Linked DNA regions of Coturnix japonica. The protein of the gene in region 1 purifies or fractionates together with the protein of each later gene. This does not show direct contact. Links are inferred from orthologs where the notes say so. Each region holds a gene or a part of one and is shown on either strand. Other genes may lie near its edges.

The links. Proteins that work in one complex are often made in the same cells at the same time.
Region 2: the proteins of TESK1 (region 1) and RABEPK purify together in Homo sapiens (affinity purification with mass spectrometry; 3 studies listed by BioGRID and IntAct, with this or other methods). This does not show direct contact. The link is inferred for Coturnix japonica from reciprocal best matches to the Homo sapiens genes TESK1 and RABEPK.

What each region holds. Positions count from the first base shown.
Region 1 is NC_029547.1:8,287,924-8,292,130, reverse strand, and holds the start of TESK1 (dual specificity testis-specific protein kinase 1), read right to left. Parts: upstream 2,801-4,207; 5' UTR 2,662-2,800; coding exon 2,413-2,661; intron 1-2,412. UniProt on the Homo sapiens protein: Dual specificity protein kinase activity catalyzing autophosphorylation and phosphorylation of exogenous substrates on both serine/threonine and tyrosine residues.
Region 2 is NC_029532.1:8,074,501-8,078,783, reverse strand, and holds RABEPK (rab9 effector protein with kelch motifs), read right to left. Parts: upstream 2,801-4,283; 5' UTR 2,731-2,800; coding exon 2,672-2,730; intron 2,597-2,671; coding exon 2,451-2,596; intron 2,352-2,450; coding exon 2,199-2,351; intron 2,079-2,198; coding exon 1,917-2,078; intron 1,556-1,916; coding exon 1,406-1,555; intron 1,295-1,405; coding exon 1,145-1,294; intron 882-1,144; coding exon 586-881; 3' UTR 478-585; downstream 1-477. Other genes in the region: PPP6C (serine/threonine-protein phosphatase 6 catalytic subunit), read left to right, coding at 2,896-2,970, 3,181-3,276, 3,363-3,428, 3,735-3,876. UniProt on the Homo sapiens protein: Rab9 effector required for endosome to trans-Golgi network (TGN) transport.

The sequences.
Region 1 (4,207 bases):
CCCCCAGGCAGCAAACAGTCCTCACTGCCTGCCCAAGGCCCCCAGCACCCCACAGAGCTCCCTGTGCCTCATTCCACCTGTGGCACCACATCTCTATGGCCCCATCCCATCTGTTGTCATGAGGGCTGGGGGAAGGGAGGGACTGGCTGCAGCCCCAGCCTGGGCACAAGGGATCTGGGCTCTTTTAACAGCGGAAATTAGAGTCTTATTTAAAGAACATGCTAATCAGAGCGAGCAGACGGCCCTGCAGCCTGCGCTCCTGGCAAGACACGGGGCAGCACCAGCACCTGGGGGTCCCACACCTTGAGCAAAGGCTGGGTGCCCTTCTCATCCCCTAGTCCCAGTGCCCCCATGAGGATGGGCAGAGGGGTGCAGGTCAAGGAGCAACCCTGACACAGGCAACCCTGACAGCTCCATCTGAGCTTGCAGGGATCCCAGCAGTGCAACAGGTCTCACACTGGGCTGGACTGGAAAAGCTGCTCCCCATGCAGAGAAGGCAGATCCTACAAGAAAGGTTTCCTCTGGGGAGCGTGGGAGCAGGAAGCCCAGCCAGGCTGCTCACAATGAGAACCTGAGCATCAGCAGTGCTCACCTGACTGGGTTTGTTTCCCTATCGGTGCTACCCATGTCACTGGTGGAACGAGATGAGGTCTGCCACAGAAGGACACCAGATAAGAGCTGTGTCATTCATGCGCAGCACCAGTCATTTGTGAATAAATAGGAAACCTCAAAGGTCGGCAGGGAAACCATGTGAGATGGGCAGGGGGCACCTGAGCAAGGGCTGCCCCCCATGGGGCTGTGCACAATGCAGAGCTGCATCCTGGAGACAGCAACTCTGGAGGATGCGCATGTTTGGGCACAGCCCCAGGGGAAGGCAGGGTGCTGCAGGGAGGGAAGTGGGAAGAGATGCAACAGTGGGTTAAGGGCTGGAGAAAATGTCTGGCACGAACACAGCCAGCTCAATCTGCTCTGTCTATCAGTGAGATGGAGAGGCGGCTCGCTGCAATGCCTGCGTGCCCGAGGAAGCAGGTGGGCCTCTGGAATCACACCGAGAACCAGCTGCTGCCGGGAGCAGCGAGGGCCAGCTCCGTGGGGGCACGGCTGGGAGCACCCCGGGAACAACCACTATGGCTCAGCCAGGGGTGGGCAGGGGAACGCCATCAGATGGCTGTGCTGTGCCAGCACCCCAGAGCCAAGCCACCTGGTTAAGGACACTGAGGTGCAGGCCCCTCCTCATTCCCCACGCCCACCAGGGATGGAATGAAGCAGGGCCAAGAAGGCGGCTGCAAATGCCCACAGCAGTAAAAAGCACTGTGGGGTGGAGAAAGGTGGGTGGAACATGGCCCTGTGCTGCATCCTCCTTGTGAGATCAGGGCACTGTCACCCCGTTAAGCCCCACTATAATCAGCGCTTGCCCTCAACCCTCTGTACCTGCAGAGAGCCCATCCAGACACCTCCTGTTCTGGCTGCTGTGGTTCCCACCCCTGCACCCTCTGCTCCTCCAAATTCCTTGCAGACACGGCACTGTGAGTATGGTGTGGGAGCAGACAGCGAGCATGGAGAAACCATGGCCTGGCAGAGATCCGGGAGCATCTATTATTAAAGATCCTGGCTTTATTAAATGCCTCCCTCTGCTCCCAGGTGCTGCTGCGCGCTCACAGCCAAGGATCAATAGGAGGAGTCCAGCCAGCAGCGAGGCCACGGCCCCACAGGAGTGCAAGGGATGGCTATGGGAGGGTCCTCTCTGCACGGCCACCACGGCCACACTGCAGGGCAGCACTCGGGGGGGCTGCAGAAGAGCTGGGGGGATCCCGATTCAGCAAAGCTGTTGTCAGAAAGGGCAGAAGCCACAGGAAGCGTAAGGCGATACAAGGCACGCTGAGCACAATAACGTGTGCACACACCTCTCCCCGGAGTGAACACAACAGGCAGGCAGCCCTTCGATGGGCTGGGAGCACCATCATCTCCACCAGGATCTCCAATCCCCCACCAGCACCACAGCACCCCACACCTGGGCGCGGCCACGCGTGACCGTCCCCACTCCATCAACCCGCGCCTGTGCCGACACAAAGGCGCCCCGCGACACAGTTCGCTTCAGCCGGACCCCGCACACCGCCCCGCCTCGCTCGGGCTGCACGGGGGGGGGGCGGCCGCACCTTCCGCCTCCGAACCGGCTCCGGGATCCCCCCCCACCCCGGGTCTTTCCGACCCGCCGGTGGCAGCGCTCCGGAGCTCCGCGCCCGGCCTGGATGTAAATATCGCTCCCCTCCCCCGGGGAACAACAGCAGCGCTGCCGCCGGGCAGCTCCTCGCCCTCGGGGGTCCCAGGCCTCCCCCCACCCCGTTCCGGTACCGCGACGCGCAGTCCCCCCCGCCCCCCGTGTAAGGGATGATGCTCGTGCGCCGCGCACACCTTGAACACCTCGGAGAAGAAGCCGGTGCCGATCTTCTCGCAGTAGAAATCGTCGATGCGCGCCAGGGTGGAGACGGCGCTGCGCAGCGCGCGGTACGAGGAGGGCCGCATCCTCCCGCATCCCGGCCACGGCCCCGCCGCCTCCCCCGCCTCGTTCTCGTCGGGCCGCTCCGCTCGCAGCGCCGAGCCGGGCCTCCGCGGCAGCTTCTCCCGCTCCATGTCGGCCCCGCCGAGCGACCCCCGCGCCATTCACATCCCCGCGGGGTCACGGCCGGGCCGTCCCGCCGCAGCCGGCCCGGCCCGGCCCCGCGACGAGCAGCAGCGGTGCGGGGGGGGCGAACGCAGCGCTCATGGCCCTGCAGCACCGACCCCAGCCCGGCCCGGCGCTGCGCCTCCGCCGCCCCGAGCGCTGGTACTGGCGGGGCGGAGCCGAGGCGGGGACAGCCCTTAACTCCTTGTCGACCACCGCCGCCGCTGGGCACAGAGACCCCACCCGCGGTGTGGGGGTTTCGATGTGTGGGGTCCGGTGTGGACGTCTGTCCAGCCCCTCGCCACGTGGGATCACGGGCGCTGAGCCCCCTACGAGCAGCGCAGCCGGGGATGGGCCCCGCCGAGGCTTCTGGTTCTGATCGCGGCTGTCCCAGCCCAGACGCGTGCTGTGGATCTGCCGCTCCCTGCCCGGATGGTGGCTCTGGGACTGTGGGAAGTGCAGCCCCTTGGTGACAGCGTGACCACTTTCCTTTTCTCCCTTTCCATGTCCTCCCATTTTCCTCCTCCATCCTGATCCTTGCTGATCCTTCCATCCTTTCCTCTCTGCGGCTCCCTGCATTGAGGGCTCCCTGTCTTGTACCCCCATGCCCTGTGCCAAACTAGCTGCTATCCCCACTGAGAAAAGCAGCAGCGCAGGTTGTCTCCAGTCGTGGTGCTTTTGGCCAGTGCCTGTCTTAGGGTTTTAGCCATCCCTGTCCATGGCAGCACCACTCCAGCCCAGTGCCTCCACTTGATGGGCTAATAGGTGCTGTGTGTCTGGAGCCACCGTGCAGCAGGATGTGTACCTGGGCATTCTGTGCATGGCATCCCAACATCTGCCATGCTGCCTCCAGCTCATCTGCAGTGCTGAAAGCTAAAAATACAGGTCCATGGAGCCGGGATCCAGGCAAACCTTGCCTTGGCCTTTCCTTAGAGTGTACACGAGCAGCAGCCCCACCAGGGTCAAGGCAGAGATGGAGAGTAAGGCATTTTACAGAGAGAAGCTCAGGACCACAGCCTGTTTCAGGCTCCTGCTGCTTACAAGTGGCTGAGTTTACATCCAATTAAGCTGTAACGGATAAATGAAAGCCCTGGAGACAGCCCTGACTGTGGAAATTGCCGCTGCAGGATTTTCAGTCCCTTCTCTCATCAGCACTGCTAGCTGTGCTGCACTATTTCCACACCATTCTACTCCTGCCTAGCACAGCCACCAAGGTCCCCAATGCCTTCAGCCCTCCCGTGGTGCCAGCAAGCCCAGCAACGTGGCTGGGCTGAGCAAACCCAAATCGAGCCCCTCAAGCCCAGATGAGGAAAAGCAGGGACTGTCAAAACCCACTGGCAACCTGCTCAGTGTACAGAGCCCAGAGGACAAGGGAGAACGCATCAGCCCCAGCAGTCTGTGCATAGCCGGGTCGTGCTCAGCAGCACGCAGCACAGGTGATGCAGCAGGACTACACTTCCCAGCATGCTGCATATCCCTCGTGTGCGCAGGGCCCTACACCCAGCAAGCTGCAGCAGCCTGCGTGCAGCTGGTTGCCGCTGCAGT
Region 2 (4,283 bases), on another chromosome or scaffold:
GCTGGTACAGAAATGGGACAAAGATCATAAAGAAATGCAGTTTTCTGAAGAATGAAAGCCAGCCGGCGTCAAAAACTGAGAACAGCTGTGTATCTCAAGGCCAGTCTTACTGGTTCCCCAGTGTAGTAACAGGAGCAGCAAGTTCAGGCCTAAGCACCAGCTCTACTGCCTTGAAAGGCACCTTTCCTGGTGCAGGGGAGTCAGGGTTTCTCATCTTCTTCTTTTCAAAATACTGTAAGACGAACTCCCTTAATGATCCCCCAGTCTTTGCAGATAACCTCAGCTCTGCAGGTAGAAGTGGCTTTATAGTCAACTAGGAGCGTGTGAGCTTCAGGGAGAAAGCTGCCCCAAATCACTGCAGCCTCTGGCTTTTCACCTTCCAGCAGCACGTGAGCCAAGCTGCTGAAGGCACAGCTGCTGCATCCTCCCAAAGGGACTGACACATCTACTGGTACACAACTGCACAGAGAGCAGGACTGCCACCCCTATAGGGCAAGAATTTGTTTATTGGAAATAGAGAACTTAATCAGACACTAATACAAAAACTTAAGGAAGGGGATGGTCCTGTGAAGGGCTGCAGCTGGACTATTCAATCAGACTTACAATGCAGTCCCTATATATCTCTGCTTGTGTATCCATCCCACCAAATATTAACAGCAGATGCACCATTGTGTCTTCAGTACATGCCTTCTCATCCTGGCCTCCACAGAGGTGCTCAGCTCTGTCACCAGCTGATGCAGTTGGCTCAGCTTTATCATCCCTAGTGACAGCTCCAGTGTCACCATTCTTGCCAACCCGCCAGGGAATGACACACATGGCGTGGTCCAGTCTCCCAGCAGGCAGAGGAGAATCAAACTGCAGCAGTGTCCACTTCTGCTCTTCTGCAGTACAAAAATACATTCACATCTTTAAACAGTGCTTTTTTAAACAGACTCAAAAACCACGCTGGATAGTACCATTGCTAATTATGCACCAGTCTGCAGTACCATCTAGCCGTAACAACAGAACTTGTACTGACATATTTCCAGTGCAGTGACACTAATTGCTAGGAGAATGAAGCCTAGGAACTAAAACCACAATGTATTTTATAGATTTTCAAACAGACTGGCATTTACCATCAGAAAGCTGAGAGAAGTCTCCCTACCTATATGATACTTGTATGTAGTATCTAGAGTCCCATCTGGACCTATTCCACCAAAAATGTATAAGTGATCTTTAAACACAGTGGATGAATGGGATGCCCGTCCTCCCGGCACATCACCAGTGGCTGCTATCTTAACCCACTTCATGTCGGCTGGTGGAGAACAAGAACAGATATGGTTATGCATTATTAAAAACAAACAAAACCAAAGCAAAACACTTCATAGCACAGCCATTGTTCTAAGGTACTTGTGGCCCTACTTACTTGTATCGATGCAGAACAGATCATCATAAAAAATATCACCAGCTAAACCTCCATGTATGAAGAGCTTGGTCCCAACTGCAACTATGACATGTCCGTGCCGAGGAGAAGGGGGGTCACCGTGGGTGCCAGGCTGGGTCCATGTCAAAGCATCTGAAAAATGGGAATGTGTGTGTATGAGGAAAACTGTCAGCTCTACAAACCAGCAGCCCCCGAGTCTCGCTGGGGTTCCCTCCTGGGGTATGCAGGACTATAGGAACAGACAGAATAATACCAACAGGTCATGAGAAGTCTCACAGCATTTCCTGTCCCAAATCATTATACTGCCACTTTGGCCCAAGTTCCCCATTGCAATACAGAGGTGAGCACATGTCAGCAGCAACCTTCAGCCCTCAGCAACCTTCAGCCCTCCATTGAAACTCGCAGCCAAGGCTGATGAGATCTGGGAGGCAGAACTTCAGAACAGCGGGCGGTTACTTCCAGTGCCGGTACAGCTCACGACACACTCAGGTACCTGTGTCAAAGACATGAAGCTGCTGGTCTTTAACCGGCTCCGCTCCTTTGTCTCCACCTCCGAAGACGTACAGACAGGTCCCTAGAGCTGCTGAGGAGGTGTGGAATGTCCTGGGCAGTGGCGGAACACCCGTCACCTCGGGACTCTCCCAGGTTCCTATTTCTAATTAAGACATTCAATTAATAAAGCATACACGAGGTCTGAAGGGCCGCTCCGCACCGCCGGCCCGGCCCGACACCCGCTCCACCGAGGTCCGGCATCCGACGAGGTGCCGGCACTCACCGGGGTCCAGCACTTGGACGCAGCTCCGGTTCCCGGCCGGGTGCGCGCCGCCGAACACCCAGAGTCGCGTCGGAAGGCGGGCGGGCAGGAACGTGGCGTGCTCGTAGCGCGGCCGCAGCCCGCTCCAGGCAGCCGGGGCCCAGCGGTGTGTGTCTGCGGGCGGGGCGGGGCCGTTAGCGGGGAACGGCGGCGGCAGCGGGGGCTGTTAACGGGGAACGGCAGCGGCTCCGCCCGGTCCGACCCGACCCTCACCCAGCTCCACGAAGTGCGCGTCCGCGAAAGCGCCCGCGGGGTCGGCGCCGCCCAGGAGCAGCACGCGGCCCGACCCGCCCGGTACCAGCACGCAGCCGTGACCCACGCGCCCGCGGGGCCATTCACCGCGCGGGGCCAGCCGGTACCTGCGGGAAGCGACGGGCGGCGCTCAGCCGAGGCCGAGAGCCGGCCGGGACCGCGCCGCCCCGCCCCCCGCTCACCACTTGCCCGCCCGCGGGCGGCTGCCCGGCTCCAGCAGCGGCGGCAGCAGCGGCCCCATGGCGGGACCGGGCCGGGCCGAGCTCCGCCCGCCCCACACGGCTCCGGCCGCCGCCAACTTCCGGTGCGCGGCCGGAAGTTCGCGGAAGTTCCGCTGGCGTCCGAGTCTCGCGCCGCTTCCCGGAAGTGGAGAGCTCCGTTTCCGGCTCCGAGCTGCCGTCCCAAGATGGCGCCGCTGGACCTGGACAAGTACGTGGAGATCGCTCGGCTCTGCAAGTACCTGCCCGAGAACGACCTCAAGGTGGGACCGGGCGGGGGGGGGCGGGGTCGGACGGGCGGCGGTGGACGGTGCCGGTGGTTGTAGTAGCGATGGCGATAGCGATAGTGATAGCGATAGTGATAGCGATGGCGATGGCGATAGCGATAGCGATAGCGATACTGTCCGGTGCTGTTGGTGGTGCTGGTGCACACCCCGGCGCTGCTGGTGGCGCTACCCGCCGTGTTCCCGCAGCGCCTGTGTGACTACGTGTGCGACCTGCTGCTGGAGGAGTCCAACGTGCAGCCCGTCTCCACGCCCGTCACCGTGTGCGGGGACATCCACGGGCAGGTAACGGGACACGCCGCGCTGCTCGGCCGGGACGCCCCGCGGTGCCCGGTGCCGCCGCCCGCGCTGACTCGTGCCCCTTCCCGCAGTTCTATGACCTGTGCGAGCTGTTCCGGACCGGCGGGCAGGTGCCCGACACCAACTACATCTTCATGGTATGTACGTGCCGGTGCCGCTTTGCTCCTCGCGCCGTGTTGGTCCCGGTTCTGCGCTGGGTGCCGGCCCTGGTGGCAGCGCTCTGCCCTCCCACCCCTGTGCTGCCCCCGGCTGCAGGGCGGGCAGAGCCGGGCGTCCCGTGCAGGGGTGAGTGAACCATTGCTGGGGAGCTGAGCTCGTTCTCACCGCTTGGCTCCCTTCAGCGTCAGGTTCCTTTGTGCAATGAGGAGTTAAAGGTGGATGTGTCACTTTGCATTTCTCCTTTTTGCTGTTTCTTCATTCATAATTCTGTTTTGACTTTGCAGGGCGATTTTGTAGATAGAGGTTACTATAGTCTTGAGACTTTCACTTACCTTCTGGCACTAAAAGCTAAATGGCCCGATCGTATCACGCTGTTACGAGGCAATCATGAAAGCAGGCAGATAACACAAGTGTATGGATTCTATGGTAAGACTTTACCCAAGTGATTTCTGAATGGGGGCCAGCATGCCATCAACAACTACCTCCTATTTCCCTTTTGAAATCGGCTTTGTGTGTGCACTGTTAAGTGGGGCTTTACTTGAACTGGGTGGGAAACGGTCTCAAATGTTATTTAACACTGTTGTGTTCAAGAAGTAAAAGCGTTTTAGTCCATCTCCAGACCATCTTTTCCTCCAGCATCTCAGTTTTTCTTTGCATTTTTTGATGATATGCTTTGGTATCTTTAAATAAAAGATTCTACATAATTCTCTTTAGGTATAACTGAGAAAAGCATTGTCATATATAGGCTGTAATTTGCTTTCTTCTGGATAACATGATATAGTGTGTCAACAAGAGCATATATAAACATTTGTAAGCCTCGTGAAGCTCCAAAG